Lepisosteus oculatus: one gene and its partner. The protein of the gene in region 2 purifies or fractionates together with the protein of the main gene of each other region. This does not show direct contact. Links are inferred from orthologs where the notes say so. Each region holds a gene or a part of one and is shown on either strand. Other genes may lie near its edges. The genes, in order: transducin-like enhancer protein 1 and en1a.

Region 1 (16,136 bases), on a different chromosome or scaffold from region 2:
CAGCTACAGGCACATAGATGTCAGGACAGTTCAAGCTTGAGGATGCGTGCAAAAAAGTGTGCAAGCAGATGTACAAGAAAAAGCAGTTTCACTCAGTCAATACACTAGGAGGTACTGTGCAAACTACATGCTTCATCAAAATGTCATTAAAATTTTATAGAAAGCAAAGACCAATTCATGTAAGGTACAGTCTTTTAAAAACAACTACCAGTAGTTACAGAGCTCTTCCATTCTGCAAGCTAAGGTATTCCGATTCCTGCAGGATCCCAATGTATCAGCTGTGACAACATCAGGTCACCTAGAGCATACTCCAGCAATTCTATTGTACCTAATGAGAAAAGAGATCAAAATCTCTAGTATCAGGATTAGCAATTATTCCATGCAATCTCAAGGGCCCAGGGGAATGGGTCAAAGGACCCTAGAGAAAGAAATGTAATAAGTGTGCAGGTCCAAAGATAAGATAGACTGTCAAATAACCATTACAAAAACAAAAGCTTTTTTATTATTAGGAAAACAGGATAAGGAAATAGTAATGACCAAGGCTGAAAAGACCATTGAAGTAGCAACCTTATTTTTTCACAGCTGCATGAAATTTTAAAAAAGTCCTCCCCATTCTATAAAATTTGCTTCCATAATAAAATAGTTTGAGTTAATTCCAACTGTTGGCAACAGTTCAACAATAACAGTTTGTCATTTAAAGAGAAATAAAAACAGTTCAGCAATTCAAAGGCACTGGACCCATAACTAAAGTACAGAAACTGTAGAGAGTGCAGAGTGTTGAAACACTCCATTGTTTAAAAACTGGCAAGATTCAATTTCCAGTAATTTTACATAACTGATCTCAATCTTATCCACCACAAATGCAGATCAGTAAAAGAATAAAGCCCATCAGAAATAAATACTTAATATAACAGCATTACAAACATCTACTGCTAAGTAATTCTTCATTAAATACACTAATCCAAAAACAATTTAACATTAAGTGGTTGCATTACCCATGCCAATTAATTATCAAGAGCTGACCAAGCGACATAGGCTTAACCAAGTACATACAACACATATGGAAAATTAATACATACAAATTAAGCCCTCTATTTTTATCAGCTGGCCACCTGTTACACTTCCAAAGAAAGTATAAAGAAAAAAAGTGATTTCATGGTACTACTCCAGATCTTGTTTGGATTTAAACAATCTGTCTGCTGTATACCTGTCTTTTGGAGATGTGCTGAAAATCGCAGAGGAAAGAATTCCACAACACATTAGGGTACTTTTTCTACCCATCTTTAAATCCTGGTACCTAACTGTACAGCATAAAAATAATACAATTTCAAACCTTAGCAACAATTATATTAAAAATTTGATTGCCAAACAAAATATGCCCATGTCTTAGAATTATTAAAATATGCTTAACCATGTGACTAACATTCTGTCCATGTCAATTTTAGGGATGGATTGACTATATCCAGTTCTACAACGAGTCCCAATTCAGATTCTTAAGTACCATAAAACAGTGCAACTATATAACTACTAATAAAAATGGCTTTCCAGATGGCTGGGGTGCTGAATAGTATTCTACACCAAGAAAATTGAAATACATCTCACTCCATTTTGAGTGCAAAATTATAACTGAGATCATCATGCAAAGATTCACAAGTTTTTTCCCTTCCCAACCAAAGAGATAAGACAGGTCCTATTCAGTAAAATGAAGTGTAAGACTATGAAAAAATATTATGTTGCACTAGTATGCAAATAATAGTCAAAGACTGACTTACGGATGTGGAAAAATAGCAGGTCAGGATGATCTGTTGAAAAAACAGATCTTTGCCATCAGTTCAGATCACACTGGACAACAGTTCTGGGCTAAATGCATCATTACTTGCCCAAGGTCTTCAGGGAAAGAAATTAGTCTGAAGACAGTTCAGTAGAAGAATGACAGCCCACACAGCTGCTAAAGGGAAAAGGGCAGAATTTAAACATTCTGAGTAGTAGTTTAGAGGGTCTATCAATGGGCTTTAGCAGCAGTGAATCTTCTTTGGCTGCTTGCCACTGAACAAAAGCTAATCCTACACCTAAACAATCCAGGCTTTAGACACAGGAAGCTTTATCTCTTGAATTATGCCAGGAGGCACCAGACAGCAGTCACAGCTGATGAAAATAAAAGGGCATTGCTGTAATGCCTGATGACAGCAGCCCTTCAGAACAGCAAGACTATTAATGTCTGAAGGTCTTATAAGCTGTGCACACGTACTACAAACACAAGAGAGTCCAGTAAGGTCAGCAATTAATTACATACACAGAACCATCATACTAAGCCCTAGAATTATTACCCCTTACTAAATACACCACCTGTATTTGTGGGCTTGAAACTTTCCAACCACAGTATCCAGACATGCCACCTGAGTCAACAGGTTCAAGAACCGGCAACAGAGAATGAGCAAGAAAATGGATTGCAGTCTGTAAACTTGTTTTGGCAAGGGCGGTACAATTTTAAATGTTATGGCAACATAAATACAATAAACATTAACATTGTTAAATACAACACTAAAACCTACAAAAGTAATTAAAGAAGCATTTAAGGGTACTATTATCTTAACATATATAGTTTCAAAATGGCAATAAAACTTGTTACAAATCAGGTTTTAGTGTGATTAAAAAACACTGTTCCAACCTGATCATTCAAAAAAGTAATCTAGAGATAATGTTAAAATATATTAAATGCTTATGTGGTCTGCAACATTCAAAGATGCGCATAAAGGTGCCATACTGAAATTGTCGAGAACAGCTCATTCTGATATTACCACATATCATGAATCTAAGCCTTCTAATGCCAAATACATAAATGTGCCGTTTTAATTACGTGATATGAGAACCCTGGATGTCTCTTGTGCATTTTCTTATTTAAATGTACCCATTGTCTCACTCATTAACACAACAACTGAACTAGTACATTGTGGGGAATGAGAATGAGGGGAAATTATAAGTGACCCATAAACAACCCCTATTGTGGTCCGATTCCAAGTGTTGGTAAAACCCCATGGGAAATCTTGAATTCGAGTCTCTAACATGCTGAATAGGCCTATGGTCAAGCCAGTTGAGTGTGCAGATAAAAGAAAACTAGAAAAACTGGAAAATCTGGTTGATTACCTAAGAACATCAATGTATCTTGAAAGGAAGAAAATAATACTTGTATTTTGACTGTGCAAGCATGAATCTAAAAGTACACAACACTGTATGGTAATGACATTTAACGATTTTCTCCTAAAAACAATAGAGCCGACTTTTTCATAACGTCTTCCTATTTAAATCAGTGGATACATTTTAATGATACATTTTTGTAAGGGGAAAGTGTCAGACAGAAACAGAAGTAATATTACTAAAAATATTATAGGACATGCCATGAACGTGGAGGAGTAAAATACTTCAAGATAATGGTTTTATATTTCCATAATTAGAGTCCAGTTTGAAAGTGCTTTCAGTGTGTATGCTATACATCCCATATTAAAGCACATTTCCTACATTTTTAAAGCAGGAATGTTAAGCTGGCATACACATCTTTGAGCTGGACAGCTGATTGGGAAAGTTTATATATATATAAATACTCATCCTTGACTGAGCAGCAATGGCTGAATTAAAAAAATACAGAAGACCCACAGGAGGCCTTCACAATGACTGAGTCTGTAGTTAGCCCTGGAGACAAGCATGCCTTGGAGCACAAGGCAGGGGGGAAAAAAGACTTTCACAGCAGAGCATTTCCTAATAACAAAGACATTGTCAAAATGACATTTCCTTTACAATGAATGCTAGCGTTTGCTTATAAGCAATAAAAAGAATAATTTCAGCCTGCCAGGAGCCTAGCTAATGCCCAGTTTCCCTCTGGAGAGAATTCCTGTCAAATGTAATGAGAGCTGCAGAGGCCTTCTCTACAACATAATGAGCACTTAGGACGCACTGGTGATCAGTCAGAGAAAAGGCATCAATTTGAGCCTGGTTACACCCTTGGGCCCAGACGTCACCAGTTTTAATAAGAATTATGATTACTTCATGCTGCACGCCTCCACAGGATCTGCGACACTGTCTGCACCGTCAGAAAGGCTGGACCACATTTATTCAGATTGTGCAGCTCAGAGAATGTGTTATTATTGCACATACCAGTCTGTTTTTCAGTTGTTGATCAAGCAATCAACCTCTACAGATAACTTGGACACTGTCTCCCCCAGAATATATACAATCCAAGTAGGTTTACATTACCTTAAACCCTGATGCCAAGGCACTTCAAAACATACACCACCCTGAAGCATTTTTTCCCCTCTACGCTAAAACATCACTTATCAGTTATGAAAAACCACTAAAGTGTACATTCACACGAGACATCTCCGATATTATCCAAGTCCAAAGAACGTGAATATTCAATACTTTATCATTTTATTCTTAGAACCGTTGAGGTTCCAAATACTCACTTGACGTCAGTAACTACATTTAAAAAAAAAGTATTACAGCACACTTAGAAAAAAGGAAGATAAAACGGCATTCCTGTAAAGATTTCAGTTCTTGGTTATTCTAAAAAACTATTAGTTCTATCCTTGTTCAGTGAAAAATGTCCATAATAGCATTAAAAAACTGATCATGCATTTTTATCCACAATTCATTGCAAATATGCAAAGAAATAAGGACATTTCATCAAAACCTTTTAATGTAAAAAACCTGTCATCTTAAATACAATTGCTTCCAATTTTTGTAATTTTCCTCTCCACTGGATTTTAGAAACAATTAGGACAGACATGGACTAAGTCCTTTTCAGCATCTATTCATCTTCTGACATTTAATATGAACAGTCAAGACAGTGCTGCTATCAACCTTTGAATTGACTACGAATATCTATGGAAAAAGACAGAAATGTACTGGGAATTTCAAAGTACATTAGCTTAGTAAAACTCTTTGAGCACAGTGAAAATCTGAAGACTTCCATGATCAATTTCTTCTCCTTTAGCCCATCAGCCATGCCCTTTAATTTAATGAAACAAGGGTTTGCTTCGAGACAGCACAAATGCATCAAGCAAGAATTTCATTCTACGTTTGAAACACTGCAACCTCATCTAATGATAATCTTCTAAAAGAAGCAATCGATTACTTAAAGACTCATTGTTGCCAAGATCCTGATGAAAAAGTGAATGTCAGCATACAAGCAGAGTACTTACACTCAGCCTTTAATTCATTCTTTGGCAGACAATGCCTACTCAATTCCATATCAGGCTGATTTAGTCATCATTTAGCTTCCATTCCCCTTTCCTCTATGTTAATACCACATTCTTTTCACCTTCATCCTGAGCTAACTATGTTACACATCAATCTAAACCAATCTGCAGTCCTGTAATGCAAAAGACACTTCCAGGCTATATCCTTACTTACTAGAGTCCTGTTGCAAGCAAGAAACATCAACATGAATTACATGCTTTTACACTCTTGAAGTCACTATTGCAAATCAAGAGTCAAAATCTACATTTATAAAACAGTCAAGCCAAAAAGAATAATGATGCAAGAAAAGAAGGTTTTTCAAACTTACTTTGAAGACCTTTTATCCTCATTCAACATTAGCCATTTTTGTAATTTAGATGACAATCTCTTCAGCTGCTTTCCCATTTTACAAACCCCATCCTCCCTAGTATGTAAACTAAATTGGTCCAAAGATATGAAACTCAAAAGGCAAGCACCTGTTCTAATGTAAACTTGGAAAACTTTTGTAAGTGAAAGAAGAAAACGGAGCTTACCTGTTTATGCATTTCGATGTTGAGCCCGTAAGACATTTCATAGTACTGTGAACACATGTTAATCTTGTCAGTTTCAGAGCACACCTCACACATTTTTTCAAACATCTGTTTATGTCGTAGATTTCCACATGCACAAAAGTCAACAACCATGTAACATCACAGATTACTTTCAAACGTGTTGATTTTAAAAGGAGAAATTGGCAATCTGCACAAAAAGCCTGCGTAATAGTAACTCACCATTACATAGTGCCTCTGCATTTCTGTCTTTTCACTTGCAAGTTTTTCACATTCCAGTTTGAGACTAAAAACAAAGGTCAAATTACATGTTCAATTAAAATGTATAATAGGAAACAGTTAACAAAAATCGCATTAAGAACTGACATTACTGTAACAAGCCTGCCTTAATGAAAAAGTGCTGAATTTTGCATATTTAGTATCAACATGGGCCTAAGAAAGTTCTGTACTGAACTGCAAATTATCAAGCAATTATGCAATTAGCTTCAATTTAAAAAAAAAGTGGCATATTGCATTTACTATAAAGAGCAATTCAGATCCCAAGTCATCCTTGTTAACTTTCCAGTAATTTCACATCAAACATGCACTGTTGGTGACTGTGGCTCCCATAATGACAAGGTGTTTTTAATGCACTATAGGTAAACCATTTTAAAGTAAATTATATACATGTGGACCTCAAATTCAATCACTGACACATTTACATCAGGATCTCTGTTCAGTTCATTTTCTTTCTAGAACAAAATGTTAAAGTAGTGTATAATAAGATTGTCTCAGAAATACTGTGGCAGCATTCCACCTTCACCTAAGACATCCAGTCTTACAAATTGAGTTCAGGGTAAATGAAAATTGTTTTCTCTGAGTTCTTTTAAGCCAAAGGTAATGTCATCTATATTCAATATGACTCCATGACCACTCATACAGGTAAGTGTTTAAAAAAAATAAGATGGCAAACAAAGTAATGCTCCATTCTGGCTGTTACAGTGATTACCATTTCAATATTACTGAAAGGGAAAACATTTTGGTTCACTAATGCAGAACTAAATCACTTGACATATATAAAAAAACAAGGGCGATTATATTTGAAGTGTTGCTGCAATTTTGAGTAAATAAAATGCTTAACTGCTTACATATTGTTTCGATAAACTCCATTTTTAAGTGGTTAGGCTGACGTACCAGACTGCACACATAAGCTCCATAAAGTATATGGAGCTGCCATTACACTCCTAAGCCAAATTCCTCACAATACCATTTCAAAACACACGATAGTTAACTGTTCATGGACACCAAGAAAACAAGCCGGGATCAGAGTTAATAAAGGATGAAAAACATCGGCCTTAGAACTTTTGAAATGCAATGTAAATGTCTGTAGAGTGTATGCACACCCTAAACCACAAGGACATTTAGACAAGTCCTGTCCACAGACGGAAGGAAAGTGGTTATTTAACCTGACTACAAACGCCACCCTCTGGTTCTTCAACCTTACCACACTTTACCTACCGCAGAATGGACACAAAACAGTCAAATGTAAATAACTCGTCCGGAATTGAGATATATTCGCGCTGGCTACTGTTATGTAAATAGGAAATTGCACTAACCTGTGATATTGGGCTTGTAGAAACTGAAACTCTTCTTTTATCCGATCCAAAGACTCGGGAATTGTGAATTTAAAGGGCTGCCCAGGAGCCTGGTGCGGCGTCTGTCAAAGTAGAAATGAAATAAGGACAGCAGAATCACGGGTTTTATGTTGCCGATTTTAGTTCACAATTTTGAAAGGAAGTTTTATACGCACACGACACTACAAAAACTGAAACAAATCACAAGCGGGGCAGACAAGTCCTAGGCTGTCGTGTAGGAAAAAAGCTATAAAACGCTGCAAAGATATTGCTGTTACCAATTAAGTAAGGCAAGAACGTATCATATGCAACCCATTTAAAAAAAAAAGACTGCGCTGTGCATTTATGACTTAATCAAATGAGAAACAAAAGGAAAGCTGGAAAACCACGAAACGAATAAACTCTGGCATCAAAACGACTGAAGAGTTAGCGCATGAGCGACTGGATAGCATTAACCCGTATTATAACAACGTAGCATTCAGTGCACTGTAAAACGTTCACTTTTTGCATACAAACGAACAAATTAAAACTCGACGAATTCAGCCAGGAAAGCAAAAGCCGCGAAGTTTCCTTTTTCCCCCATTTCCTTTGTACTGTTACACTCACAGGGTGTCTGCTTTGAGGAAACATTGCTCCTTCAGCCAAGCGCCTCCTCCGGGAATCCTCAATTCTCGGTTATCTTTTAACCCCTTTCAGCAGAAATTGAGAAGCACAAGCAGGAAACTCTGAATTAGGATAAATTCATCCTGGATCCCCGAAGAAATGGGGTCGTAAAGCAAACCAAACCTCGGTGCCCCGTCCTTTTATTTCACTCCACCGTCTCCTTCGCAGAACAAAACAAGCGCTTCCTAGTCGTCGCAGGTCTGCAATTAACTTGTGTTGTACAGTGGACCTTCGTTGATTTTCGAGTTAGTCCAATAGAGAAAGCGAAAATCCCCCCAAAAATGAGAAAATCATTTGCTCACAAACAGCGAAATAAAGTCCACCCTGGAACTGTTTTTTCTTTCCCCCAATGAAACAACGTAGCGCTGGTTCCCCGAAGCGATATCCAGAAAGATCAAAAACAAAGCGAACAGGCGACACATACAAAAAGACCAAACCGAAACGTTTGTCGCAAAAGTCTCAAAAATAATGATTATTTTAAAAAAAAATAACACCTCCCTCCAAATGGCTGATGAAGTATCCCCCGCGTGTGCTGTTCCAGGATAAAATGAAAATGTTTTTTTTAGCAAAACATGGAAATGCACTTGATATTAAAAAAAACAACTAAAAAGTACTCGATAATACAACACCTAAACTATAGCTCAATAATAAAGCCGAATATTAAAACATAAAAAGTATCAATAAAAATGGAAATCTTAATAATAAGAATGACAATACAGCACCCAACCCCACTCTTCCCCACTGCTTACATTAACACGCGGTTTCACACTCCCTGAACTAACCAGATCTAGACCTGCCTCTGAAAACTCACGGCAGCCAATCAAGGTTAGATGTACACGTGGGGTCATGACGTTTCCTCTCTAACTCGCCAATAGAATCAATACGTGAGAGTTCATGCTTGTCGATTATGCTGAGATACGGTAAAGGCAACCAATGGCAGAGGAGAGAGTGCTAAATGTAAGAATGAAGGATGAGGTGGTCGGTCTGCGGGAGAGTGACAATCCTCAAATGTCAGTCAAAGTAACGTGGGACGAGTGCGAAATCCTTAAAGAGACAGAATCGGATTTTTTTTCTCCTTGTACAAACAATGCGATTTCGATTTCGTTTACACCTTGTTGATTTTGCATTCAAGGAAAAAAAAAGACCTAAAATGTTCTAGAAAATAATTAAGAACATCAGGTTTGAAAGGTAACTTAGCATATGTGTGAAGCTGGAAAGGTAACTTCTAAAGACAAAATCAACCTTGAGAAATAAAGCTTTATTAAAGATGCCTACCTATCATCTGCACACCTACAAATTTTCATTATTTTTTTTACTGTTTTAAGCGTCTGGTACACAGCATTACAGAAAATGGGCATCCCACTTCAATAAATATGTTCTTTAAAAGCTGATTGGATGTGATAATTCTGAGTCTAAAATCCCATGTGTTAGAAATGGAGTTACTGTATTTTTGTTGACTTTGCCCATAGCTTAACAGTGAATAATCTATTAATTGATCACACATATCAGACCTATAATTTTTGTATTCTATGTAATCTCTATTTCAGATTTTTAACTCTGTTCTGTCCAACCATCCAGACATTTTACTATATCTTAAAAAAAAAACAGATCATGGTAATCTACAACCTTAAAAGTTTTTATTTTTTACTGCACATGCATATAAAACAAGCATACAAAAATAGATTTTTTGTCACCCGTAAGGCATTATTTTTTAGGTTATCCTGACCTAAAAGTTGCTTTAGAACTAAAAGAGTTTTGTATTCAGAGGAAGATTTTTCACAAAACTGCATGTCTGACCATCTATATATTTAATTAAATTTGCTACAAAATCAACTGTAAAAATGTATAATTTTTCAAATAACACACCATAAGCATAACTGCAGTTAATGAAAAGAAATGTACAAAAATAATTATGTTTCCTCATTATTCAGCTTCAAATACATTTTTAAGTGCTGCTTCTTACATATAGATCAGTACTTGAACAAAGTCATACTTTGCAGTGAAACGAAAATAAAATAAGTAGAAAATGACAACATAGTAGGTAGATGGAGTAGAGGAACAGCTGACCTGTAAAACTGACATGATGTAGTGGGGTCAGAGATCATGCCAGATGCTCTTTGTGACTGTAGATCACACTGATGGAAGACAGCAGGTTATTGCTTTCACATTAGAATTCAAAGTATATGGACAGATTTCTAACTCACCTTGACAACACTGCAGTAAGACTTATGCCCTCACAAGCTGTTTTGTAATTTAAAGAATATCTCATATTAACTTCTTAACATTGCATCAACTGCACTGCTAACCAGAAACTTGTTATTTATTCCTCTAGTTAATGTAATGAATTTGTTGACTGAAACATTGGAAGTTATTGATTGCCACCTATATATTTTGTGGCTGAGGATTTTAACCTAAACTTTGTTTTAAAGATTCAGCACAGCTCTGCAAGAACAACAATGACTCAGTACAGATAATGAAGAGCCGTTTAACCATGTGGTGTTGTAATTTGTTTAAACTCCTTTACATATTGGATTCATCAAGTGATCAGTAATAAAACCTGCTAATTTCGTCCTGTGGAATAGAATTATATCAGTGGAAATGATAAAGAAATACTATTGTCCTGTTGGTCCTGAAGAATTACAAAAAGTCTCAGTTACATATGGCAACGTTAATCATTGCTAGACTGATCATCTACTCATCTTGAAGCTAAACAATAATGACTGCTGCTATTCAAAAAGAGCATAAGGAATAAGGATGGGTCAGAGGAGGCCATTCAAAGATCTTACCTATTTGATATTTAGTAACTAATTTATCTGATAATCTCATCTAGCTGTCTTTTTAAAAAAGGAGGGATATTAGCCTCAACAACATGGCTGGGTAGCTTGTTCCATTTTCCCACAGCCCTTTGTATAAAGAAGAGTCTCCTAATATTTGTTTTAAATGCATTTCTTTATATTTTTAATTGACTAGAAGGATTTGGTTGTGATATCATTTCATCATTTGCAAACAAGCTTCTGACAGAGTTCACGTAATTCTTACAGAATGCATTACTCATTGGCTTCAAATGCTGTATCCCCATTTAAATGGTCAATGATTGACAGTGCCATTATGTCTAACACATACTGTATATGCAAAATGTTGGACATAGACATATACAGTATATTGAATACAGACTACACCCATGTTCTTATATTCAATCTGGGAATTACCTGGCAAATAAGCAACATTAATTTGGCCATGGTTAATAATGACATATGCATTTACCAATCTTGTCCCACAGGTGTTGTATTGTTGCTCCAATGCAGTTGGTCAGCTCACGATATTGATCATTTTGTACACTATCATGTTGAAAGAGTGCAGTATTATCTTGACTCTGATATCGCTGTTACAGTGGCAGAACACATGTGTCATGAAATTGTGAATAAGAAGCTGTGCAGTCAGTTTACAATGGACATCAAGAAGCTGACTCCTAAATTCTGGATTAATGGCTCCCCACACCATTTGTGATTTTTCCTCTGCAAATCGGACACAGATTTAGGATTAACCCTTTTCAGACATCACTCGCCAATCCACTTAAGACTGTCAATTTGCTTCTAACTCTACACCTTTCATTACTGAAAACAACATTTTTTGCATCCTTACTCAAAATATCGCAAATGCAAGTGATCTCTGTTTTCCCCTTTATTTTTTTTTTCACAGCAGCAAAACTGTTTCAGAATAAATAATTCAATAGTATAATGCTGACATCAACACTTCAAACAGAAACTGCACAGGAAGACATTGACATTGACTTCCATTTTGGGCGTGGGGCTGGATAGAGAAAGCATCACCTGAGCATGGACAGATGGTGTGGGAAGATATTAATGCAGAGTTTAGTAGTCAGCTTCTCGATGTCCATTGTAACCTGACTATACAACTTCATGTTTACAATTTCATGACACTTGCGTTCTACCACAGCAATATCAGTGTCAAAATAATACTGCACTCTTTCATCATAAAATGTGCAACATGATCAATATCATGAACTGACCAACTGCACTGCAGCCACAATCCAACACCTGTGGGACAGGACAGGCAGTGGTAGATGCGTATGTCATCATTAACCATGGTCAAATTAATGCTGCTTATCTGGCAGTTGCTTCCCAGATTAATAATAAGATGATGGGTGTAGTCTGTACTCAATATCTCTGCCTATGTCCAAATTTATGCATACTGTATATGTGTTAGACATAATGACCCTTATGTCAACCACTGACCATTTAAATGGGGATAAAGCATTTGAATGCAATAAGTGATGCATTCCACATGAATTGTTTGAAATCTGTCAGAAGCTTGCTTGCAAATGTTGCAGATTTTGAGTCTGGACAGTACTGTTGTAGAGACACTACAATATGTTACAGCTCTGAACTGCCCGATGACTGCAATCAGGTTTATGAGTCTTTTGACACCCAATTGTGTTAGAAAGCATATTTGGCCCTCTTTGGAAGCAGTTTCTCAGGTGGTCTCACTTGAGTCATTACACCTGGTTGACCAAGCCTGGGCTGGTCACAGGTGCTTTCTTTCAGTTTGTAGCACTGCTGATGTCTAGTGATGATTGATTGATGGACTCTGAATGCCCCAGTGACTTCATGTAACAACATTGCATGTCTAAAATAAAAACACATTGCTCACCACATGCTGTCACACTGTGTACAAAAGGGAACATGAATGCTACCATTTTCTATAAGCATATTACAATGACATACTCTCACACATAGACAGGTTAATTGGATAGTGTGGCACTCTAAGTGCTGAAAATATGTGTTGCATTTGTAAAGTAACTCTCTTAATGTACAGTATGTGTCTGTTATCATAATCATCTCCATCATTATCAACTGCAGCTATTATTTATTCACTGCTTGATGAAGACCGTGCCAGGACCCTCCAATGTTCTTCTGTCTTCAGTTATCATTAAACAATCTGTTCATGCAAATTTATTGATTTCTCATGTGCATCACTATCACAGCCTTTATTGATTCATAAAGGTACCCAATTCGCTAGAATTCATAACTGTTACTTGAAAGTATGAATGTTTAAATAACGTAAATGAAGTAGTATTGTCACACAATATTTATCAAACTTCAGGAATGCGTAAATATATTTGTAGGAAATTGAGGTTTGTCAGCAACACTAAATACACAAATGTTATGTAGACTCAGAATGACAAAATTGTATATCTTACTGATTTACTAAATTTAGTTATTTTCTAATTAAATATTTTCACCCAACCATGCAAAGCCACCAATTCACATAAGTACTTCTGTACTTATTCTTTTTGATTCTATTTAGAAACATGAGCCTCCACCCTCAGCAACTAAATTCCCCTAACAGCTGCTCAGACTCATTGTAACGCATGGGATAACTCCACCCCATGTTCTTAAGACACTGTTAATTCAATCAAACCACCTGTTTAGTCTCTTTTGAGTAAAATAAACAGACTCTAGGTCTTTCTTAAGCCAGATCTTTAAAGAAGCCCTCATCCCTTCGAAGAGCAGGGTCGATTTTCAGTTTATATCTGCAATTTAACCTACACAACCCAGACTTCTAACCCTGTGCGGTGAAGTAGCATAAGGATCAGATACCAGTATGCATAAATACTTCATTGTTGTCAGAACTGCCATTTTTACTAGCTTTTGCAGCCTGATGACATATAATACTCCTCATATATAACATTGTGCACAATGTTCACAGACTTGTACTTGATGGTTGCTACTGCAGCTGATAATGTACTGTATGTAGGCTAAATAAATGTATTATGATTTCCCATCTGGCAGAGATTCACAGAAACCGGTCTGTTTTAATCAAATCTTGTGTTTTTGCCTAATCTTTTCCCCTCCACTCCACCGCCCTTTTCCCATTATTTTTTTTTCTCAGCCTTATATAGACCCACAACAACCCAGGAAGCACTCCAGAGTCCTGTTTTTCTCTGCTTTGGCTCAGTCTTCCTATCTGAGATTACCCTTTAGCATGTTAACAGCTCTGTCCACCTATTAATTACTTGCCCGTCCTTGTGCTTCCTTTAACCTGACTATCATTTATCCTTGATTCCTCTCTACGTCGATACTCCTTTAGCCTTGGTAACTTTAAATTTCTAAACCTAGGAGGACACTGGCATGTAAAGGATTTATTATGAAGGTCTGTTTCATGGACAACTGATAGCAGCTTCCAAGGATCAGAAAGGATATAAGCTATTTTCTTCCATTCGGATGACCAAGAAGGCGGATAAACCCAAGTGGGATCTTTACACTTTGGCTCTTCTGCCTTTTTGATCTCTTTATCTTCTTGTTATTAAATCTTTTAGGTTTTTAGAAAGTGTTTATTAAAGTCACATCCAAATCACTTTCTTTGCTCCTATTTCATTGTCCATAAAGTGTCTGATACTTTCAATCAAGATTTTAATCTCAACATACAGTAAGGTAGTGTTACTAAAAATATACACTTTAAGTTAGAAGTCAGAAAATTAACTTTATACCAGGATATCCTATTTATCTAATGTTTCACATGTAATGCTTTGGAGTGCCTTCCTATCTAGAGGTGGTAAAGAATGTCTTCACAAAATTAATTATTTATTTTTCATTAGTAATTTTCAACCAAAAATCTGTCATGTTCAATCCTGTTTTGCTTATACAGCAGTGTCTTTTTATTCAGCATAATCATCCTTCCACAGAGAAAAATGATATCACCCACTATTCTCATGTATAAAAATAAACCTTTACAGAGAAATTAATTTTTCTTGGTAATTTCTAGGCATTTTTCATACCCTTTCCCTTGCATGTTTTGTTTCAGTGACTTTCTATCAGATTTTAAATGGCTTTGTAGTATTTATTGAACGTCTGATGAGCAATTCCATTTGAAGTTTGCTCATTCTGTAGATGATAACTTTACCTCCTTTCTCACATATTCCAGATTATTTACTAATATTTCGGATTTTGCATTTGAAATTCTGTGTACTGTACTTAAAGACTTTCTGTTTTTACAAGAGCATGTGCTGTTTCATTTTTCAGTTCTTACACTTCCATTCCTTTGATTAACATTGTGTGCATCATTGTTTGATTTTGAGAAGAACAAAAAACAGTTGACAATTAAAATGTGCTCTAGGAGGGACAGGTTGTAAGGCTGGAAACAAGAGCATGTCATTTGACTTATCTTGCTTTTGTGGACTTTTAGTAGCTAAGTGAATTTAAAATTTCATCCAGCTAATGCCTGCAGAGAGGTGAGCTCACCTACCTGCTGTAGCTGCTCCTGCTTCTTCTCCAGACACCAACAGCAGCTCCCCATCCTAAACAAATTCCTTTTTTATAGCCACTTTTGATAACATTGTCTTGCTTTTTTCCTGAACGTGAAGTAGCTTTTAGCTTGACCCGTGTGCTCATCAGGATGTTGTATACTTGAATCAAGGCTTGAAATATTCAGCTCCTTTAATCTGTCTGTATAAAAAAAAATCTCAGACACCAGAAGTCATTCTTGTTGCATTCTTGTTCTTATTGTTAAAACTCCTTCTAAAAGTATATCCTTTTTGTGGTATTGTGACTAAAACTGAATGCAGCAATCTAAAGATGAAGTCTTACTAAGCATTGTAAACCTAAATAATACCTGATTTAAATTGCACACATTGTACTATGCAAGCAAGGATATTTGTTTGCTTTTTAATTGTTTTTCTGTGTCTCTGTTTTGATGAGGACATAGCTGAATTTTCCATAAGTGGAATCTGTCACATGCATAGCTTGCTGTAACTTAGCTTCACTCATCCAGTATTCATTGTGTATGTTTCTACTTACTGCATGGATCACTTTACAATAGTCACCATTACATTTAATTTTCAACATGTTCCCACCTATCAACAATTATATGTGCAGCGGATCTGCTGCTGTGTTTGCCACTCCCTTTATTATCTGTTTCATTTCTTCTAACACTTCAGTTGACTGTAGTAATTTCTCAAGGGCACACAGGTACTCTATCCAAATATTGTTTATTCTAATTTTTATTTGTTCCCAAAATGTGTGCAATGACTCAAGTACTTCAAATGTATTTTCTCTGTGTA
Region 2 (15,472 bases):
GTTAACTATGGAAGCGTCAGGCGGTGTAACATAAAGGTTTTTCCAAATATATTTGTGATGTTCTCCATCCTGCTTCCTATCTCTAAATTATTGGTTCGGTAGCCTGTCTTTTGTGGCAACAGCAAGCTAATAATTCAACATAAACTCTGTCATGCAAAACCCGATCAGCAAGTTTCGCTCTAACTTCGGGCTGAATCAAGATGTCATTCCCAGATATATGGATCTTGAACATATATACGCACACTGGTTATAGATTTCAACGTCTGTTGCGTTATAGCCTATATTACAGCTATTCGAGCTTTCAAACAGACACGCTGTGGCTCATTTAGCACCAGCACGGTTTTTTTTTTTTTGTCTTCAAGCAATTTCACAACAACTCGTTTCGCCGTAGTTTTAACAATGAGATGCGGGCCCCGGGAAAGGTTAACAACTAAAGTGTTAAAAATCTTAAATCGTCAGTTTTGACGGCGATGCGTGACCTTTGACCCAGAGGGGTAGGTCTCCCTTTTAGGTCTGCTTTGATTCCGGGACAGAGGCACAAAAGAGCTCGCTGCCCCGACACAGGCCGTCGGGAAATATAGTCCAATGAGGTTTGCGTCATAGCCGTGCCAACGCGTGTCCCCGAGCAGAGAGAACGAGTCATTTAAGTCACGCAAGCCGGGGTCCGGACATAAACGTCGTGGAAGCGGCTTTCTGGCGTATTTTCTCTGGTTATTGCATTTCAGGAGCTGGGCGTTTTTAATATCCACCCGGCGTGTGAGACTCTCGGTTGAGCACAGACTCAAAGGGATTGGCGCAGGGAGTCCTATCTGGGTGTGCTCCTGGGAGAGAGGGAGGGAGGGAAGGAGGAGGTGTGAGAGGGACGGGGAGGGTAACAGTGAAGGCTCAGACTATACCCATAATTTACACCCTCGGAATTTCCTCACTTTTTTTCTTAACGTGGTTTTTTAAAAATGCCGTTTGATCTTGCTCTTGCTGACTATATTTTTGGCGTCCCTCCACGCTGTCTTCATAAATTTATCCTACAATCGTAACAAACGCTGAGGACATTAGAACATTAGAAAGTTCGCGCAGTATGGAAAAATGCCGCATGTAGTGATATTTTGATAACTCAATAAAAATAGTGATGCTAATTCAACTGTTCAATCATCAGAAATGTTTGGAGAGCTCCCAACACTGAAAGGGATAAACGGTTTACGCAATATGATCACAAAATGGGGGGGCGGGGGACGTCATGGAAAAAACAGTGATGTTTTAGCCTAGCGGCGCGGAACGCAGTTTGCATTTTGTATTTTGAAAAGGGAAATTTAATGTGGATCCACTAGGCCTACTCGGTCTAAAAAAAAGATTCAGGATTATGGCTTTGTGGGGGGGAAAAATCGATACAATTCAAAACGAAAATATACTATTATATTTTCTACCCTTATCCAAAGAACGTCAACAAGGCCTAACGTCGTGGAACATACGAGGCTACACACAATTGTGTATTAGTTTTCATGCAGAACTACATCACATAAGAATGCACATTTGGTAACCTTGCAAAGACTAGGCTGTAGACACGGGGAACGATCTCTCCTTCAGGCGCTGGTTTTACCTGTTAGAATATCGCCGATAAAAGTGCATCCCGGGGGATACTAAAGTCTTCAACAAACAATAATAAGTACAATTATTTATACGCAATGAATTAAAACATCAGAAAGCAAAAAATAGGTACTGAGGACATGAAACAGAGTCGACTTTAACGTGTACGGAGAGCACGAAACTGCCCGGAGTCTCCTCTACCGCCTGCAGTCGACCTCAACCCGCTACGAACCTGGAACTAGAAGGTTTCTCTACAGACCGCTTTCCAAACGTGGCATTTTATCGCTTTAACATATTTTATAGCATGACAAAACGTTGAATGACTAAAAAGGCATCGGAAGCACGAAACTTTATTTTGTCGTTTCATTTTGTGTCATAGAGAATCGCTAATACATTGCACGGGGCTAAGCAATTGATCTCCCTAAGCTTGCATCGTATCTACTAATGATTATTTAATGTCTTTACTTAGTGTTTAAACAGCTATTGGCTCCCTACTGCGTTTGCCGATTTTACTGTTCTTACTTTGCATCGATATGAGCATTAATCTCTGGACGCATTGCAAGACTAATAACGAATACCCTATTCCAGTAATTAATTAACAGTGTAAATAAGTAAATATCAAAATCGTATATCCAAAGACATTTCTATATAATGTGTTGAATGGATGCTGTACAGCACAGTATATAAATGTAGACTTCTGTACTGACAAAATACACTTACAAGGAACATTGTAAAAAAAAACACACAAAAATACAAACAGATAATACATAATGCAGGTCCGTTGCAAGCTTGGATATAAATTGAAATACAAGTCAGAAATACACACAGTGGTAACAAATGCCATTTAATAAACGAAAGTGTTCCATCATTTTGCCGCGACACAAACAGTGGATTCTGCTTTGTTTTTTTTCTTAAGTGATAGTCGGCCTTAGACTTACTGAGCGACCTTGAAGACACTCATTTGACCTCACAAGCTCTCCTTGTATCGATTCCTTCAACCAGAAACGCTAGACATTTGTGCTTGCAGCTAAACCACATTATCCTAGACACCACTAAATAACACCAATCCGCAGAACACGGGAGCCTACTCTTAAGGAAACTCTTCTTTGTTTACATCGTAGAGAGAGCTCCCCCATAGACCTGGAATAACTTTTGGTTCAATATACCTGAATGACAAAACAGATTGAAACGTAACATTTCCCCTTCACATTTATTACAGAGTTATATTAATTAAAATCGATGCGACGGAGGATTTAAAACGTGCATGTGATTTAAGCATTATCATAATTGTCTGCAAACCATGATATATATAGTCTGTGTACATGTATTGTACGTAATGTCTTAATTCATATACGGGGGAAAAACCTCACGTGAGCGTGATTATAGGAATCCTCTTGTAATCAATTAATCTCTCCTGAAGCCTCCCCCTGTTCACCCCTAACCCCTGCGAAAAAGGCTTGTTTAAGAAAGTGTAATAGGACGGAAAAACAACCCTCGTTCACATAGAACAGTTAAAAAAAAGTTTATTTTCCATTTTTCCTGCATTATCGAATCAAATCGATGGGCGCGTTTGGACATACTTTGACCTGGTATAAACTCCGACATTACAAGAACTGCCTTGTGCGCCCTCCCAGCTTCAAGATCTCCCGCAGACTTGAGGTGGCTCGGTTTAGTCTCAAGGTGTATTTAAAACAATAAACGTTAAGGAATAGTGATGAACTGCAGCCAAGAAAAAAAAAGGAATCGAGAGCACATTCTACACTTTATTTCAGACTACATATTTCTGAACATATTAAAATCTTTGGCTTGTAGCGACGGTTCAGGAGCGCAGTCTGTATAGAACTGTGAGTTAAGAAGAGTGACACAAAAACACGTAAGAACCCCTATTGAGTCAGACACGTACTAAAACAGTGAGCAACAACATCATAAAGAAAAAGATAAAATCTCCAGCAAGTAGGGATCGCTATAGACACATCCTTACCTGAAATCAAATATATACAACGTCTTATGGTGTTTGGCTATATATAGACTTTTTATATCGTTCGTTATTTATATAGTTTAGTCCATATACTATGAGATAGACATAGATCTGATTTAAATAGCACCTGTCCCACTCCATTCGCTGTGTTAATTTTTTTTTGTCTTCGAAAGCTTCGTTTCTGGCCCTCCAGCCAGCGCCCGGCAGTACATGGAAAAGAAAAGTGTGCTGGGATCATTCGCTGTCGTCTTTGTCTTCCTGAACTGTGGTGGTCGAGTGATTGTAAAGTCCCTGGGCCATGAGCTGCAGGGCCAGACCGTTCTTGAAGCCATTGGCTTTCTTGATCTTAGCCCTCTTGTTCTGGAACCAGATCTTGATCTGTGACTCGTTGAGGTTGAGTTCCTGGGCCAGAGACTGTCTCCTCTGCTCTGTGATGTACCGATTGGCTTGAAACTCCGCTTTAAGTCTTTGCAGCTGCTCGGCTGTAAAAGCGGTTCTAGGTCGCTTGTCTTCCTTCTCATTTTTCTTCTTTTTCAATTTTCGTGTCCTTGGGCCTAGTGTAGAAACAACAATAAAACGCATACGTAAATATCAGTAAGCCCTGGGTATCTGTTCCACAGGCTATAGATAGGAGATGACGGGATCTACGAATTCCGAGGTCGTGAATAAATCCATGTCATTTACCAACCCGATAATAATTTTGTCTGCAGTGGTAGGAAACGATATATGTTTTCTGCTAGGTGAGAGAATTTTGATGACGCGCCACGAAATCACTACATTACAATAAGTGATTAGATTATACCTTTGCGTTGCACGAGTAGTTTTTGGTTTTATGTGAAAGGGATTCCCAATGTTTTGCTCCAAGCTTCGGCAAACCTATTTCCCTAACAAAAGAATATTTATTACAGTTAGGTTGCGTGTTGAGAGTATATCCTGGCAAATTACGGCTAACAAAATATGACCGTTACAGCAGTTGCTGGGGTTAGTCTGAAATAAACTGTACACTAGTATGTACATTAAAATACATTTTGTTTCGCTCAGAACCGCTTATTTAAAAGCATAATATACAAGATAACGTTTTCATAATATACTAAATTTAAGTTTTAAAGAACGTTTCCGATCTGTTTCAACATTTTTCTGAATTTCAAAATGTGCACAGAAATATACATATACAATATGAAAAAAAAATATTTTTTAACATCCTGCGTTTTTGAAGACATTTCAAAAACATCCCAGAATTCCGGCCTAAACATACACTATTCCTGATACGGTAGGATTTTTAGAAGGATCGTTTACGAGCGATCTTCGTTGTCACTACATAGTTTAGTGCAATTTTCGGGGGGCATTTCAATATTACAATAATCATTTTGTTATTATTGATTTGGTTGTAAAGTTGTTTTTTGTCAGCGATCACTGTGTGCCGAGGTGTGAGGGTGTTCATCAAAAAGAAAAATAATTTATGACATTTAAAATATTTCAGACGTTCCTATAACGATATAATAATAGTTGGCATATTAATACTGTCTTAAATACGAAGATAAAGACCGCCATGTTTATTATGATCATACTAGGTCTGCCCGAGGAGAGAGCCACGAGTTTTGTATCTTTATGCGGGCGATCTATTAGACTATATTATGGTACTTTTGTCACGCCGAGAAAGACAAAAATGATCCATTCTCTCAACCATCCAACTACAGTGTAAGGCCCCACTAAACAAAGTATATTTCAAAACACAACCTCACATAACTAATTTTACATGCAAGGAATGCGGGCTAAAGATTTTAAGAGTAAGCCACGCCTTTTACAGTATTTGGAAAATCGTGAACACGCTGCAGTATTATTATCACATTTCCAGGAGTCCTCAGTGTTTATAAAACAGATAACAGCACAGGCCACTTTATCCCTAGTGGAAATCCAGTAGATATAGTGTTATAGGTAGGTATTTCCACGCCGAACGAAAAATGTAACACTTGCAGCGTTTTGCAGTTATTTTACACAAATAAATTGACACTTATTTTTGAGAGGCTAGAAAATTGCGCAATTTTCAGAAATGTGTACTATTTTTACTTGTTCCTTTTTCGAAAGCCGCAAGAGAACATGGTTGCTCCAGATGACTGCGGTTAGAGACCTAAGAGAAACCACTATAAAGTTTACTTCTACTTATAAAAGTACTCTTTCCAGTATTATGGATAATAATAATACGTTTTACATGCATTCTATATATTTCTATAATTCTATAACGCAAGAGGCTTTGTTCAAGTTCGTTTAATAAATGTCAACGAAACATAACAACGGATAGTGCACTCAACACAAGCAGTACAGCCCTAAATGAATGGCCCAATTTATCAGGGGAAGGTGTGAGTGTTTGCGTGTGAACTCCGGGGTCTGTAGTTAAATCTGATCGTTGTTGTAAAAGAATTAATGCAGAAGATTACCCCATCCAGGCCTAAAATCGATGCGCCCGAGAGTGAAATCAAGCCAAATGAACTGACAGAGCTTCTGTATAAGTGTACGGTGTAGTCTTGTCAATGTGTCATTTCTATTAAATTCACCGTAGGGTTCAGCAGTGCCAAGAGTAAACTAGAAATATCATAGCTCACAGGGAACGTTACACAGACCTAGTAGATCAGCAAATTCCAATATTGTATTTTAACTTCACTGAGCTTAAGAACAAGCAGTGTCGTTTCGGTGAACTGTTCGCACTGACAGCTTAATCAGTCTATCAATCAGCTCGGTCAATGCAACTTTCCATTCTCTGTGGAGAAGGACCTCCAAATTGATCACTTTCAGAAGTGGAGGTATAGCAGGCTGCTAGGATTGAGAGTACGCGCAGAACCCGTTTTAGAAAGCGGTATCCTAGCGCTGTCCTGTCCCGCGGGTGTACTGCAGTACCTCCGTGTTATGGGGAAAAAAAAAGAAAACATAATTTGCAGTGCAGGTCAAAAAAGTAAAGAAAAATATTTATATTATCACACTACAACCCTTTTTCTTCTTATTTTTTTCCTCTTGAAAAAATATCCATTGATCGATTTTGTAACGTCGTGAAACGTGAATCTTGCATAAACGTTCAAATGTAGCCGATTATCTCAAAGGCTCGTGAATGCAGTGTCGTTAAAGTTATTAATGCATTTCGTTATTATTATTTCCTTTTATGTTACTGGTGACTGTCTATCGTGTTTTATTTTTCCTGCACTCATGTTTATATATGGTTTCATAAAAGAAATTCTCATTAGCGCGCTTAGCCACACAAAGGCAGGCTACAGTAACGTGTTTGTAAAGGCAGTGCGATATACGGAATGCTCAATTAACTTCAGTGCCTAGTGTTTTTGTATCAGATGTGCCCGATTGCCTTGTTAGAATATTCATCGCCTAAAATGCATATTTTAAATTATTTTTTACACACAAAGGCTGATTTTCGTACTTGCCCAAGTTGAGAAGAGATCTTCACGTCCACCTACAATTTTACAGTTGCATGCGAAACGAAACAGCCACTGTTTTCTAAACCGGCAACAATTTACTGGTTCCAAAACACAAAATGTGCTCTTAAACTGCGGCCTTTAGGCCTCCAATTATTATTTTGTTTGAAAGGCCCTGCATTTAGCATACTGACAGACTGAGATTTAGTTATCCTAAAAGGACCAAGAGTTCTAGCATCTAAATTAATTTGCTGTGAACTGCGAGTCAACATTCAGCGGGTCTAACGGCCTTCGAAACTTTTTTTTTCCCTCGCTCGCCTCGCTATTCTGTCGCCCAGCTGAATGTGAATGTATGTATATCTAGTATTGTGACTGTGTGTACAAATATCGTGCACAGGCTGTGTTCAAGCGTGATCCATTTTCTGTTACTCTTTTTTTTTTCCCCGACGCAAGCAATATATATATATATTATTTCATAAAAAAGAAACTATTGCCTTACCAGATGATGGTCTGTCTGAATACCTTGTGCAATATACCCAGGCAGGCCATAGTAGCGGCTGAGATTCTTTAGTCGCCGCCGTTCCTCCATTATTCGCGCTCATAACCATAAGAGAGGGGTTATTCTCGCCGTATTTGGCCGTGTTAGTTCCATTTCCTTCGCCCGGCTTCGACGGGCTCTGTTTCGACGCCGGCGAGGGCGAGGAGGACGAGGAAGAGGTGCTGTCACTGCTGCAGTTTGAATCCTGGCACAGCGTGCTCGGGTGAGACGGCCTGATGACCAAAGGGTTCACGTTCTCCCTGCCGGAGGTCTGCGCTCGGTCCCTGTTCCCGAGCTCCTTCTTGCACCCAAAGTCCGGCCGCAGGATGTTGTCAATGAAAAAGTTGGTGGTTCGGTGAGCCTGCTGCGCTGCCGGGTGAGGCAGGATCGGCGGGGAGGGCAGATTCGGGGACAGCGAGACGCTCTCCCCTTCGCTAGAATCCCGGCTACTTGAATCCTTGTGCTCTTCCATATCTGGATCCAATTCGCTTCGCCTCCTCTTTCCGAACCCAACTCCACTTGTTGGCGAATATTTATTTGTATCCCGTTTCTTTAAAAAAAAAAAGCCTGGCAATATAGTCGGTCAATATTAAAAAAATACAATAAACACCTCTTTTTCTTTTTTTTTAAATGGAACCAACCTTCTCTAAATTCGCGGCATCCTACAAGTGTGTAGGATTTTAGCTCCAAGTGTCATAATCTGCCCGCCTGGCGAAGCTGACAACACATTGCGCGCCGGTTTGAAGTCCCTGCGTTTCTCTTATCTATGACAGTTCGATCTTTGCAAACTCTCCTAAAATCGCTCAGCCTCTCCACACTTTTTTTTTCCACACCAACCGGAAGCACGTGAGCCTGCACACACGTGCAATGAACCAATCGACGGGAGCGAGGCGCTCTGACACCAGCCCCGGTGCCCAATTGCCTCTTGCGATTCTTCGCAAATAAATAATAAATGGACTTTAGAAAACCAAGCAAGGGTTCACAGCGGTACTCTGTACATCCGTGCAGATGCTTATTGTATGTGCAGTGCCGACTACCGAGAATTTAAAATCAGCCCCAGTGCCGATGCTTAGTGTTCTTGTCATGCAGGTTCCTTAAGGTTTTCCAAAACTTTGTATTCTGGATTCAAAACCGCATGATTCTTATTATTTTTCATAGAAAATATGCCCAACAACACAAGCGCACGCGTCCCATAACCCATAATAACCAGGCAATTAAATGAAACACAAGACTCTTGCGGTCGTAGGTAAATTAGCATTATGCCGAAAGGTAAGTTGCAGGTAATACTAAAAGCGCACAAAAAGTTTTATTGCTGTATGTCCGGTTTTACAGCGACTTACATTGTGGAGTTGAGGTTGCAGCAGTTCTGACAATACAGGTGAAGCTAACTATATTCCTCAAATGTTTCTCGTGGAGAAAAAAAAAATCAACACGCGATAATTGCTTTTGATCACATTCTCGGTTTTTGCGTCCAGTGTTTAAAACACTTGGATTAGACCTTGTCAGGAAAACACAAAGGACAAGATTACAATTAGCTGCTTTTCGCTTTACTTAAAAAAAAAAGATTATGATAGTCAAAAGCAGTTAGAAACATTTTTACTTTATATCATTGACCACATCTTTTAATATTGGTATAGTTAACTTTTTTATTTATTAATAATTAACATAGCGGACTCCAACTATACATTCTACAGTATATGTTTCTGTCTGGAGCGACTTTCTTGAACAAGTCTGCGTTATTTCAAACTATGCTTCCAGACCCGCAATTGTAAGGGGCTTCATGTTTGTCACCTAGATAAAATTTGCTTTTAACTGAATACAACCTCTTGCAGACACCTAACGTGTGTTACCGGCCTCTACCCTTGGTGTACAAGACTTTGCAAAATAATTAAAAATACTCATAAAAAAATTAGGCAAAATTTACATTGAGAAACTTCTTTCTTTTTTATTTAAAAAAAAAAAACACAATTTGTGGCGTAAAGACTGATCGCTCGCGATGAGTTGTAGAGGCTGGAAAGCTGAATGTAAAATGTTCGCCGGCTTTTAAAACCTGCTTGACCCCGGACACGTGCGTGGCTTTTTCGACAAACTTCAAACCGAATATCCGAAACAACTCGGTGGTGTTTCGTTTTATAGAAATTGTGCGGCCGCTTTCGCTTATATTTCTTTAACGCAAGAAAGTTCCGAGGCAAACCTATGTCTATAACTTAAAAGGGCAACGAAACAAATGTAAAACTACAAACATCACCCAACAGTCTTCAGACACCCGGTACCTTCCAATCACTATGTGCACACATACAAATTCAAGAAATAAGTTTCTGCACGATATATACTCGTTTACTCGTCGTTTATGTAAAGAAACACGGGCCTAATGCATAACATCAGACGGTCCTGCATTAATAAGTTATCCCTGTAATTTTCTTTTACAAATAGCACTGTTATTTTAACAGAAATGATGAGGGAAATATTAAAGTAGTTATTTGCAACTCGTTTGAGTTTATTTATATTTAAGGTTCCAAAATTGAAATCTTTATCCCAAAAGCTAGTGTGGGTACTTAATTAAATTCTAATTAGGACACTATCAATATCCTATTTAGCCACGTAGCCATTGTGAGCTCCGGTCCCTTTCAGTCGGTAAATAGGGGCTCGCAGCCTTATCTTGCCTGCAAGAGACGCCTTGAGAAGGACTGCAAAAGATAATTTATAGGTTTTAATTACTCTTCATTCCGCCTGATCAGCTTGGCGTTCATCACAGGAGAGTGAATAAAATCTGGTCAAAAGCACTGTCACTATTCCCTGGCAAGACGCTTAATCAAAGTAAGCAGGGCCATATTACACGCTGCGAGCTTCTCAACGTAATTTCCAAGCTGCTGATAAAGCTGGTTGAATAATGCTGGAGCCTTTGGAGACACCATTTACAGAAATGACTTTATTGACGGCTTAACGTCGGTAATTCATTTTACCTTTCATGTACTGGAGCCTGGATTTGTTACAGTAATGGGATGATAAATGCACTAGCGGCCTATAGCTTGTATTATTGAATATAATACACACACCCTTTGCTAAATGTCTCGAAAATCGTTTAGAAATCGATGTAGCAACTGTTTTAATTTCATTATGGTCAGGTTGAAATTAATAATCTCAATTTTTATATCCTGTGCATGTTCATAAAGCCAACACAGGGAGCTAGACAATTCCAGACAACTGCACATTTCACACAGCAGCGGGGATTGTTTCATTTACAGAACAAAACACAAACAAAATAACGGGCTTCGTGCTATTTAATTGCAGGACTGAAATAGGTGGTGCAAAATGCAGGGCATCACTGTTCTTGTGTGTACAGTGTGTTCGTGTGTGTGGTGCCAGTCTGTGAGCATGCCTTTGTGTATGTACACAGACATACTACCGCTCAGCACTGGCCATAACCCGCAGTAAGAAGGAACATATAGCATAGGAAATGAAATCTGCGTACGCCTGTGCAGGTTACCCCGCGATTCAATTTGAAAACAAAGGCCGCCGTTATCTAAAAAAAAAATCCAAATGACGATCAAGGCTGTAGCGTGAATTTTCTTTCTTTGGCCTCCGTTTGAAGCAAACTCTCCGTTTATTTTTGAAGTTATATATAAACGTAGGCTTTGAAAAGCGCTGTTTTAAAGCATATTTTTTTTTTGAATACACGGGCTACGGGTTTATTTCTAATATTAATTTTTAAAAGAGCTTCCTCTGGAAACAACCCACGTTTGGAATTAAATGCAGCCTTTGGCTCCATGGTTATTATTATTATTTTTGTTTGTTTGTTTACAGCCTTCAAAAGAACGTATGCGTTAGCGACTTTACCTGTTCCGGGTGTTGCCTCTCGCTGAAACAGTAAATCCATGTGTATCGTGTGATAAGATCAGAGCAGAGTCCTTGCAGAAGGACATAAATGAGTTGTTTTAATACAATGGATTTCACCCTTCCTACTGGGACTGAGTGACCACAGGTTTTGTTTGAATTCAATGCGAATAGATTTCTGCTACAAGTGCACCATTATAATTATGAGCTGTAAGGTCAAACTATACATTCTGGGTCCCCAAAGCCTATAGACACAGGGAAATGTGCAGAGTATAGCACGTCATTGTACCTGACAGTCCTTTCAATAGACTAATTCAATTATCGCTAAGGGATTTTGCAGTCACTTGAAAGCTGTAACTCACAGGAGAAAGTATAAAATGTTTATTTTGTTCTATTCTGGTGTTTTAAAGCGAGAAAGTGCCCGAAAGCGGTTCGGAACGAAAACGATAAAGTATTACAATTGTGCAAAAAAAGTAGAAGTGACTTTGTGCGTGGCGTTGCGCGGGGCTCCGTTGCCCGTTACACAGAAATGACACGATCGCGAAGGAGGTTTTCAGATGTTTAAATCTTACAGTGACGGCAGCGATCAGTGGGGTCAAGAAGTACGGAAAATTCGAATTTCATTTTGCCGGCTACGTGAATTATTCCAGCAAAAATAACATTATTTCCCAAGGTATGTACTCGAACTTACCTACAACGTGTATTGTTGGCATCATTAAATGAGTGTCTGAAGTTGGTAATCTGTTTCCTATAGTTAAACGTGTTGGGTCTCACATGTACAAAGGACTGTTCGAGGGGTTAGAGTGTTAAATTATAACATATGCAGTAAGTTCACGCGTTGTGTCTTTGCATTCTTTTTACTTTCGCACCTGGGCAATATGATATATACGCACAATATTTTACAAAAAAGACAATTTTTTAAAACCTTTTTAATATTAACAGTTGAATGACACTCTATATATGTAATAGATCTATAAACTAATATCTTTCGAAATGAGGAGCAGTTTATTTTTTGTTTTTCGATTAACTGCGTTTTTTGCTCTTCATTACCCTCTTGTTAACTACACCTTTTTTGGGAGAATATTTAAATATAAAACGTTTTGTTATGTTATCCCGGTCAAAGTGACACACCTGCTTTTTGAGTTAAATTCAAAACGACATCAGGGCTTTAGATATGTGCGCTACACAGTCAACTTTTATTATCAGCTGAATTGTTCGTGTTAAACTGAAAAATGGATAGGCGACACATTAAAAATTCTTAACGAAATTAAAAATCTTAAGACTTGAAAAAAATGATTGCAAAAACTCTATATTTCACAAATCAGATTGAAACTTAAATATGCAGAATATAACTCAATAAAACAAGAATTGCGTTCTACATAAGCATTGGTTAACAAACTTCCAACATAGAAAACGAACATAAAATGGTAGAAATTCACGTGGCAGAAATATCAAAACAGCAAGACAAAATAAAAACCCATTTCCCCAGAACTCCGTTCTCAGCACAGTAACAACAGATGAAAATATTATATACACCCGCCCATCACCTTTCCCCAAGCACATGCATCTAAATGGTTTTTTTTTATATATATATAATAATATATTAGAATGAATGTATTACCCTAGCGAGTAGCGATATGGTATGAATCACATTGACACAAGATAGACAGAAACTGAGAATGTGGTCGTTTTATTATTTCAAATGTCTCTTGCGCACCAGACGTTCGTAGATAGACCTTGTTTACGATGGTAAATAATTCATTTTTTAAGAAAGTATGTCTCATATTTGAAAGTACAGTATGTAGTCCGTGCAGACTGAAAGCTGTCCAAGATCCATCTTGTTGAGGGGCATTTTAAGTGAAGCAACAAAACAATGATTTATAGAAATCTTTGGGGTTCCGGAGTTTGAAAAATTCGAATGCCCTGAGCACACAATCTGGTATTGAACAATAATCAAGAGAGAGCGTTTGCAAAGCGTTTTGAGCTACAGTATATTCATGCAAAACATAATAAACTATTATTTGTTTAATCTGACATGATTGTGGCTGTTTTCTAAGTGATACCCATGTTATAGAAGCCAAAGGTTAATAATAGTTTCTAGCATATTACAACTTAACAGACTGTGGTTTCGCATTTAAAAAACAAACGTGTGGCATTAGCCTATCACACTTTAACTTAAGAAAACGTACCCGAATTGTTCATTTCGTTAATAAACAGGAGAATGTTTAGGGAAACGGCGTGATATCATTCTGTAGTTTAATGATGCAATTTTGCTGCTTCCCAGCGGCGAGAGCTGGAACTGGGTCATCACTGCGACACAAATTCAAGTCACGCTCACTTTCGATAAAAGGGTTTCCTCTCCAAATTGTCATGCAAAAGACGCACGCATGGGGTCTTCCGGCAAGACGAGAAAGTCCAGTGGAACAGACACACTGAACCGCAGAGCAACGTATAGATCTCGTATATCTATATAATGACTTAAGTATTTTATCGGCAAAACGAGTGTGCACATATATATGTGATTTTTATATTATCACTGATGCATTTACAGTTTCCCGGAAAGTTTTAATTAAAAGCAACACAGAAGTGTACCTGTGTTACTGCACGGTCTAGTTCTCGACCCGCGAGCAAAGCTCTCCTGTTCTTGGCGTCGGTGTCTGCCCGTTGTTTTTATAAAGCTTATTCTGAGCCCATCCTTTTAGTGAGTAATGGTTTGAAGAAATAGACCCGACATTTTTCAGATTCTTATTGAAAATTAAAAGAACTGAGACGTTATTAGTACCCTTACAACATCAGTCGTAATTCTTCTATAAAGATTTTTACGTCCGAATAACGCAGTCATGATCGAAACGGTTCGCTTCTGCATTTCTCTGAATGTTACTGTTCAGTGTAACATAACAAGAAGACAGACCATTGCAGAATGACCTTGCATAATTTCCACATCAAAGAGCCCTGGAAAAGCCTCATTTACAGAACATACGCAATATCTGAAGCCTTACCCCATTTCTGTCTGAAATACGCCGTACCCAAAACATATATAGAGAGAGGTAACTTGATTTGATTAAAATGCACAAACAAGGCTTTTTTTCTAATGAACAAACTATTTGCTTCTAATTAAAAACAATAAATTTGGCTTCTTGACAACCTTTTGTTATAATTACTGTATATATACTGTATATATGTGTGTATGCATTTCAATGATTAAACTGCACATTTTAGCAAAATTAAAAATGTATTGTCTTTTTACTGGACAGACGAACTTTGAGTCTAAAAAAGGGGTGCAAGAGTATTAACTTAAATAGCATCTTGTATTTTATAAAATAGAATAAATCATTTTTATCTTAATGTCAGGATCCTCTTTAGTAGCATAAGTCTGAGTTATAATTACCTTTATATTTACTTCTCAGTACACAAGATTACATTTTTATTAATTTCTTAAATGATGTGTTTAGGAAGTTTTTTTATGAATTTTGTATTCCGTGTTACTTGTGACCCAAACGTTCTGTCTTAGAACCGAACTGAAATATATATATATATTATACAAGACAGCTTCTAGTAATTTAATTACTTTAAAGATTAATTTAAATTATTTTAAGTTAAACAAGATGCAAGATTAATCTGAAAATGATTGCATGTACATACAGACAACGCTTCTTACTTGATACACCAAAACAGCTCAGGTTTTCAGTTCATGCAGATATTGCATTTGCTTTTTAAATAATAGATCAAATACAAAACGCTCGTTAACATTAGAAGTTCTTTCATAACATCTCATTGATCAATGAGACAAAAATATAAATTACACCATAACGTGACGATTTACTACAGTATTAAGACTTATAAGAAAAAGGAAGCATGAATTTAAACACAAGCATCAGTTGGTACTTTTTAATTCGATTAATTGGGCTATTAATTCCGAGACTTGTGCAGGCTCCACTGCCTTTACTAAAAAATTGATTGCGGTGATTTTCTCTGATGCAGAGATCGGTTTCCTTATACACCGATCTGGTGTGTGTTACAGCAAAGTTTATATAAAATAAACTTCATTCTAAAATCGGATTTTCAGAAGCAAAATGAAAATGAAAAATTCTAATTAGGTTGTTAAAGAATTCTGTTCAATTTCAG

What was found.
Region 1: the proteins of en1a (region 2) and transducin-like enhancer protein 1 purify together in Homo sapiens (affinity purification with western blotting; 4 studies listed by BioGRID and IntAct, with this or other methods). This does not show direct contact. The link is inferred for Lepisosteus oculatus from reciprocal best matches to the Homo sapiens genes EN1 and TLE1.

Annotation. Positions count from the first base shown.
Region 1 is NC_090698.1:60,289,645-60,305,780, forward strand, and holds the start of transducin-like enhancer protein 1, read right to left. Parts: upstream 8,815-16,136; 5' UTR 8,180-8,814; exon of another isoform or gene 8,083-8,179; 5' UTR 8,024-8,082; coding exon 8,000-8,023; intron 7,477-7,999; coding exon 7,376-7,476; intron 6,067-7,375; coding exon 6,003-6,066; intron 5,811-6,002; coding exon 5,766-5,810; intron 1-5,765. UniProt on the Homo sapiens protein: Transcriptional corepressor that binds to a number of transcription factors. Inhibits NF-kappa-B-regulated gene expression. Inhibits the transcriptional activation mediated by FOXA2, and by CTNNB1 and TCF family members in Wnt signaling.
Region 2 is NC_090707.1:6,365,901-6,381,372, forward strand, and holds en1a (homeobox protein engrailed-1a), read right to left. Parts: upstream 8,292-15,472; 5' UTR 7,986-8,291; coding exon 7,475-7,985; intron 4,114-7,474; coding exon 3,794-4,113; 3' UTR 1,931-3,793; downstream 1-1,930. UniProt on the Homo sapiens protein: Required for proper formation of the apical ectodermal ridge and correct dorsal-ventral patterning in the limb.